Linked DNA regions of Coturnix japonica. The protein of the gene in region 2 interacts with the protein of the main gene of each other region in a pairwise test. Links are inferred from orthologs where the notes say so. Each region holds a gene or a part of one and is shown on either strand. Other genes may lie near its edges.

Evidence for each region. The genes of interacting proteins can lie anywhere in the genome.
Region 1: the proteins of BHLHE40 (region 2) and cytochrome c oxidase subunit 5B, mitochondrial interact in binary tests that used the Homo sapiens proteins (3 or more experiments, as listed by UniProt). The two-hybrid records come from large-scale screens. The link is inferred for Coturnix japonica from reciprocal best matches to the Homo sapiens genes BHLHE40 and COX5B.

What each region holds. Positions count from the first base shown.
Region 1 is NC_029537.1:873,124-876,434, reverse strand, and holds cytochrome c oxidase subunit 5B, mitochondrial, read right to left. Parts: upstream 1,870-3,311; 5' UTR 1,842-1,869; coding exon 1,748-1,841; intron 1,675-1,747; coding exon 1,601-1,674; intron 999-1,600; coding exon 899-998; intron 814-898; coding exon 701-813; 3' UTR 560-700; downstream 1-559. Other genes in the region: calsenilin-like, read left to right, coding at 3,270-3,311. UniProt on the Homo sapiens protein: Component of the cytochrome c oxidase, the last enzyme in the mitochondrial electron transport chain which drives oxidative phosphorylation.
Region 2 is NC_029527.1:15,937,568-15,941,798, reverse strand, and holds the start of BHLHE40 (class E basic helix-loop-helix protein 40), read right to left. Parts: upstream 2,867-4,231; 5' UTR 2,606-2,866; coding exon 2,526-2,605; intron 2,430-2,525; coding exon 2,360-2,429; intron 2,021-2,359; coding exon 1,913-2,020; intron 1,573-1,912; coding exon 1,449-1,572; intron 665-1,448; coding exon 1-664. UniProt on the Homo sapiens protein: Transcriptional repressor involved in the regulation of the circadian rhythm by negatively regulating the activity of the clock genes and clock-controlled genes.

The DNA of each region.
Region 1 (3,311 bases), on a different chromosome or scaffold from region 2:
GGGCGGCTGAGGCCAGCCCCATAGACAGGGATACAGTGGGTCCCACCTGGGTGCCAGCTCTACACAGCACACAGCCGTGGGATGGGGGCTGCCCTGTGGGTACAGCAATGGGGGGCACCCGGGGGGGCTCAGAAAGGGGGGGATGGGTCCCAACACACAGCGCCCACCAAGGGAGGGGCCACAACGCAGCCCCTGTCTGTGCCCAGCCACAGCTATGGGGACAGTGAGAAGGATGGGGGGGATGGGGACCCCAATGGAACCCCATTGTGTGTCTGTGGGGCGGGATGGGGACCCCAATACAACCCCATTGTGTGTCTGTGGGGTGGGATGGGGACCCCAATACAACCCCATTGTGTGTCTGTGGGGCAGGATGGGCACCCAACACAACCCCATCATGTGCCTGATCATCCTGCCCACCCCCATGGGGCGTTCCTTAACAGCCCCAACCCACAGGGAGCCCCCATGGGGAGGGGTTACCCCCCATCACCCCACACTCAGCCTCCCCCGATCCCCCCCCACCCCATTGCCGCCCCCCAACACACACACACAGCACGCAGTGTTTCCACACTCAATTCTTTTTCTCTATAAGTTGGGGGGGGACACAGCAGAACGAGCTGCAGTGGCTCAGCTTCCAAACACCAGACGGCTGCTGGGGGGGGTCTCACAGCCCAGGACCCCACTGGGGGGGCTCCCTGTGGGCTCAGTGTGGCAGCTCGTGGGGGATGAGTTTGTAGTGGGAGCCGCAGGACGGGCAGCGCTGCGCCTCCCCCTTGTGCAGCCAGAACCAGATGACGCAGCTGTTGTCCTCTTCACCTGAGGAGAGAGAACAGGGGGTGGGAGGGAGATAAAGTGGGGGGGGGAGATAAGGGGCCATATGGGGCCACATGGGGCCACTCACAGACGCAGCCCACGATGCGTTTATTGGTGATGGACGGCACAAGGTTGGGATCCTCCTTGGTGCCCGCGTAGCGCTTCGGCCGGAACATGCTCCAGGGGTCCTGGGGAGGGAGGGGTCAGAGGGAGGCCCACCCCAACAACGGCAGCCACATCCCATCCCATCCCCATCCCAACTCATCCCATAATACCCTCCATCCATCCCATAATACCCCCCATCCATCCCATAATATCCTCCCATCCATCCCATCCACCCCATAACATCCAATCCCATCCATCCCATAATATCCCATCCCATCCCATCCTATCCATCCCATCCCATCCCCATCCATCCCATAATATCCCATCCCATCCCATCCCATCCCATCCCATAATATCCCATCCCATCCCATAATATCCCATCCCATCCCATCCATCCCATCCCATAGTATCCCATAGTATCCCATAGTATCCCATAGTATCCCATTGTATCCCATAGTATCCCATAGTATCCCATTGTATCCCATAGTATCCCATCCCATATATCCCATCCATCCCATATACCCCATCCATCCATCCCATAATATCCCATCTATCCCATAATATCCCATCCCATACATCCCATCCCCATCTCCATCCCATCCCATATACCCCATATACCCCATATACCCCATATACCCCATATACCCCATATACCCCATATACCCCATATACCCCATACACTCACCAGTCCTTTATTCATCGCCTCCATCACTTTCCGCTCCAGTCCCGTCGCCTGCTCCTCATCCGTGGCCAGGTCACCTGCGGGGCAGACGCTCAGTGCCTCCATCCATCCATCCCATCCCATCCCATCCCCATCCCGTCCCGTCCTTACCGGGCGCTGCATAGTGCCGGCTGATCACGCTCCTCCCGGTGGCGGCGGGCAGAAGCCGCAGCGCCGCGCCCACCCGCAGTAACCTTGACGCCATGGCGGCACTCAGCACTTCCGGAGATGGAGGAGGAAGCGGAAGTTGCGAGCCGGAAGCGGAAGTTTAAAACCGGAAGGGCGGGGCCTCAAAGGGCGGGTTGGGGGGGGATGCGGCCCTTAGCAACGGGGGGATGGAGATACGGCCATAGCAACGGGGCCTGCACCAGCGGCCACGCCGGGCCCATAAGGCGGCGGTGCCAAACCCCGCTGATCCGAGCCGCATTAATGCGGCCCTTCGTTAATATTGCAGTACAGATCGATGGCTGCGGGGGGAGGGGGGTTAATTAATATGGGGGGGTTAATTAACTGCAGGGGGGGGATTAATGGACATAGGGTGAAATGGAGATTGATTTGGGGTGTGATGAGTGGGGATAGGGGGGAAAATGGGGGAAATAGGGGGAAAATGGGGGAAATGGAGCAGAAAATGGTAGAAAAATGGAGGAAAAGGGGCAGAAATGGTAGAAAAATGGAGGAAATAAAAGGAAATGGGGGAAAAGGGGCAAAATTGGGGGAAAATAGGGGGAAATGGGGGGAAATGGGGGAAAAGGGGCAGAAAATGGGGAAATATTGGATATAAGTGGGAAATATGGGGGTAAATGGAAAATACTGGGATATAAATGGGAAATATTGAATGTAAATGGGAAACATTGGGGTATAACTGAGATATCTTGGGGTATAGGTGAGAAATATGGGATATATATGGGATATAATGGGGTATAATGGGATATACTGGGATATAATGGGATATATGGGATATAATGGGATATAATGGGATATAATGGGATATAATGGGGTATAATGGGATATACTGGGATATAATGGGATATACTGGGGTATAAGTGGGAAATACGGGATATAAATGGGAAATATTGAATGTAAATGGGAAATGCTGGGTTATAAGTGGGAAATATTGGGATATAAATAGGAAATATTGGGATATAAATAGGAAATATTGGGGTATGAGAGGGAAATATTGGATGTAAATGGGAAATATTGGGATATAAGTGGGAAATATGGGGATATAAGTGAGAAAATGCTGAAGAAGAAGAAGAAATATGGGGGAAGGAGAGAGAATATGGAGGAAAAAGAGAAAATGAAGAGGAAAGAATAGGAAGTATTGGAAAAGAAGGGAAAATATGGGGGAAGAAGAGAAACTATTGGAGGGGAAGAGAAAGTTTGGAGAGGAAAAGAGGCAATTTAGGGGAAAAAGAGGAAAATATTGGGGAAGAAAAGGGAAAATATGGGAGGAGGAGAGGAAAATATGGGAGAAATAAAGGGGATGTGGAGGAGAAGAGAGGGAAGATGGAGGCAGCAATGTGGGCGCGTGCCAAGGGAGGAGGGCAGGGGGTGGTAAAGGGGGGGGGGCAGGGGCGGCCCCATATCCCCAATCAGCTGGAGCTGCCCCCGCTGCCCCCCGCCCGCCGCGGGCATGCAGGGCATGGAGCTGTGCGCCGTGGCCGTCGTCATCCTC
Region 2 (4,231 bases):
GCGGTGGGCGTGGGCAGCCCGGGGTACAGCACAGGGACGGAGGCCGGGTACCAGCACTTCTCCAGCATGGGCAGGTAGGCAGTGGCGGATGGTGGGATCAGGTAGAAGGGCAGGCACAAGGGGGGCTGGTGGGCGTGGGGGGGCAGGAAGCCGCCCGCAGTGCCCATCACCTCGTTGCCAAAGGGGCTGTCGTCATCAGGCACCTCCAGCCTGCTCCTCTTGGCCGGAGGGTCCTCGCTCTCTTGCTTGATGGAGCTGATCCTCTCCTGGACGGCGTATTTCAGTTCGGTATCCTTTGGGAAATAGGGCTGCTCCGGTTTGGAGTCGTTTTTCTCCAGCTCCCCCCCATAGCCGCTGTCCGTGTCTGTGTCGCTGCCGCTCTGCTCCCCGCTGGAGGCAGCGAATGTCCTTTGGATGACGGGCACACAGTTCTGCCCGCGCCCCTCGCCCGCTTTGCCCCCCGGCACCGTCTTCTCCTTCAGGTCCTTGGGGCTGCCCGGCAGCAGCTCGGCCGCCACGCGGTGCAGGTGCCCCACCAGCTGCGCTGCCTTCAGCTCCTTGTTGTCGTGCTTGGCCACGTACTGCAGCAGCTCCTTGGCGCACAGCTGGAAGCCAGAGCGGAACATCTCCTGGCTGGAGTCGAGGTTCCTCGCGGACAGGTCACCTGAGGAAACATTAACAGGGAGAAATTAAAAATTAACAGCACGCCAAATACTTCCATCACCACCTCCAGGCTGACAGCACGCGTCCGGTACAACACAGCCAGCACAGCAAACTCAGTGGCCAACCTGAGTTCCCACAACTTATGCGCCAGAATCCAACCTGCTACTTTCACATCCCTCCATTCACTTCTACCCGTGCCCTTCATCTTTCAATTCTGCATTTGGCACTTCCACTGGGGAACAAGCAGACAGTGCATCCCACACCCAGCAGGACCCCTCAATGCCACGCTGTGCCCCCACTGCCAATGGGTCTCCCCTGGTGCTGTCCCTGCAGGGCAGTGGCACCTCGTTGGCCAAGCTCAGTTTGACTTTATCAGAGCCATGTGAATGCCACGTGTGCAAGCAGCAGGAGGAAGCAGAGGGAGCGAGCAGCCACTGTGCTGAGCCCCGTCCACCTGCAGAATGAGGGAACACAGATCTGCACACGGACAGCGGGTGTTTGTGTGCTCTGGGGGAAAAGGAAAGCGCAGAACCAGGATCCAAAGCTCATGAATGGAGAGAGCTGAACGACTTTGGAGAGGGCATCACAGCAAAGCTGCGCTTTAAATAAAACTACTTCAAATCCACTTTAAAATGAAAGCGACCGCACAGCACGCCTGGCTCCGACCCCATGGAGAGCTGCACTTGCTCTGCACAAGCAAAGCGAGAGAAACTGATGGCAATCAAAGGGCAGAGGCTCAGGCATCCCTTCCCCGCGCAGTGTCCCCGCACGCTGCACTCACGCACCTGCCTGCAGCCCGCTCTGCAGCGCCAGGATCTTCTGCTGCTGCTGCTCCGTCAGCGCCGTCAGCGCCTTCAGGTGCTTCAGGGTCAGCTCCAGCACCACCGCCTTCTCCAGGTGACCGAGGGTCTGCGGGCAGAGCACACAACGCGTTGGACGCTGCGGGGGTGGGGGTGGAAATAGGCGCTGGGAGACATTCCCACGGCAAAGGTGGGGGCGATTTGGGGCAGGGACTCGGGGGCAGCGCTGCTAATTGGGGAAGGCACAAGTCGTGCTTCCTGTGAACAGAAATATCCGGAATTTGGACGGAACACACAGAGAGCAGCCGCGGGGCAGCCCCCGGCCCCACATCCCGGGGGTATTTGGGGACGCCCAACCCCGAGCACAGCTCCGTGCCTCGGCGCTGCTGCCCCCGCCGGCATCGCGCGCTCAACGCAGGGCCGGGCCCGGAGCCCCGTTGTGCCCGTACCGTCAGCTTGAGGTGCTCGGGCAGCAGGTCCTTGAGCTGGGCGATGCACTCGTTGATCCTGTCGCGGCGCTTCTTCTCTATCAGCCTGTGGGGCAGCTTGTAGGTATCCTGTAAGGAGCGGCGGGTCAGCGCTCCGCACCCACCCTCCGTCTTTTTGCCTTCTTTCCTTTTTTTCCCCCTTCCCAAATAATCGCTAAACCCACCACGCATTCCACCCTCTGTTCTTTTTTCCTTTTCCTTTTGCTTTCCCCCCCCCTCCCCACCCAAATACTCACGCACCCCCTCCGCCCCCCACCCCGCAGCATTTCTTTTTTATTTCCCCCAGAATTACCCAGTGGAGGCCCCTTCCCCCCTTCCCGCATCACCCCACAGAAGCTCAGCTCTCTTTCTCACTCCCCCCCATCCCAACGATCGCTGACCCCCGCCCCGCACCGCCCACCCCGTTACCTTGCTGTCCTCGCTCCTCTTTAACCCCCTCCTGGGCTTGTACACTTGGTACATGTGCGCGAAGTCCAGCCTGCACGGGCGAAACGAAAGCAGCGAGGTTACCCCTGTCCCCGGGGCCGCGGCGGGGGGACGCTCTCGTGTCGTCCTGTCCCCCCCGCAGCCTTACCCCGGCACATCGGCGCTCTCCAGGGCGGGCAGTTTGCCCAGGCACACGGGCGGGGGCTGCGCGCTGGGGATGCGCTCCATGGGGGCGCGGAGCGGAGCGGTGCCGCGGGAGCCGGGAGGAGCGGAGCGGTGCGGTGCGGTGCGGAGCTCAGCGCGGGCAGCTCATGCCGCGTCCCCGCCTCGCCGGCTGAGGAGCGGAGGGAGGCGGAGGGCCGGGTTAAATGCGGCCGAGTGGGTGGACGGCGGCGACGTGCGTTACCCTGTGACTCCCGGCACGTCTGGCCGGGCTCCCCCCCCCGCTCCCTCCCTCCCTCCATCGCCGTCACATGAGGCTCACGTGTCGGCGAGCGGCGGCCTTCCTCCCCCCGCCCGCTCCGCCGTGCAACGTGCCGGGGGGGGGTGGAGGCGGGGCGGCCGGTCCGTGGCCCCGGGTGGCCCCGACCCCGGTTGCTTCCCGGCCGCCCCTCGGGCTCTGCCCCGCCGTCCCGCAGCGGAGCGGGGCAGGAGCTCGGCACCCGACTCCCGTTCTTCAACACTCCCGCGGCGCGTCGGTAATCCCCGCTGCCGGAGCCCTTTGGCTGCTCCCTTCTCTCCGAGCCGTCCCGAGGCTCGGGGTTTACTCATGACCTTAAGGGATGTTGCCAAGGATTTTGGAGTCCCCCTAAAAAGAGGATCCGAGTGGAGCGATGGCATTCCTGGGCGGCAAGTGGGATGGCGGAGAGTTGGGTTACATTGTCCTCCCTATGATCAGCTTTCATAAGCTGGGGCTGATGCAATCAGCAATTTGTCTCCGAGATTTTGTTTGCTGAATTATTTCTGCGCAGAAATGCATACATACAGGGCGTACAGAATGCAGCAAAGAGGCCAAATTTCCTGCAGTCACGGGTCTGAGGTGCTGTCCCAGGAGAGGAGCAGACAGTGCCCAGCAGTGATCTGCACTTATCTACAGACCCCCCAGAAGCCAAGGGCTCGCAGTTCGGGCTCAAGTTGTACTGAGGGCTCGGAGATGGTGATTTGGGGCAAAACACTGTGAAATCCCAACAGCAGCATCGGATAGAGCCCGTGTGGGCAGCTCGGAGTTAGCAGCTGGGCTGCGGCTTCAGCCTCACGATAAGGTTACTGCGGGTGGTTTTGTTTTAAAATGTCCCTTACTTAATATATCCACGAAGGCCAGGCATGTGCCTGTGGCCTGGAATCAGATAGCTGACTCCTCTGCTCTCTCATTTCCAGCAATCTCGTTTTGGGTTACCAGCACCGGAGGTTAAAGGACGGCCGCAGGCGAAGGTTATGCAGGGCAGCAGCGCTTCGGCTCGGCACCCAGCGGGCACCCGATGGGCATCCCCAGAGCCCTCCTACTGAACACACCCCCACCCTCCCAGCAGCCTGCAGGTGGTGACCAAAGCTCGGACTGAGCCTTGAAAACACACTGCCCAGAGCTGTGGTGCCCCATCCCTGGAGGTGCCCAAGACCATGGGTGGGCCCTGGGCAGCTTGAGCTGGGGGGCAGCCAGCCTGTGGCAGGGGTGGGGGCTGGGTGACCTGTATGGTTCCATCCAACCCAACCATTGCATTAATCTGTGATGGTGTCGGGGTACCCATTGGGAAAAGCAGTGAGAGCCAATGGCACTGAGGGTCTGCTATGAGCAGGGTGCTGGCACTGCATGGTGAGAGCCTGCAGCCCATCAGCCATGAGCTCTCTTCTGACCGA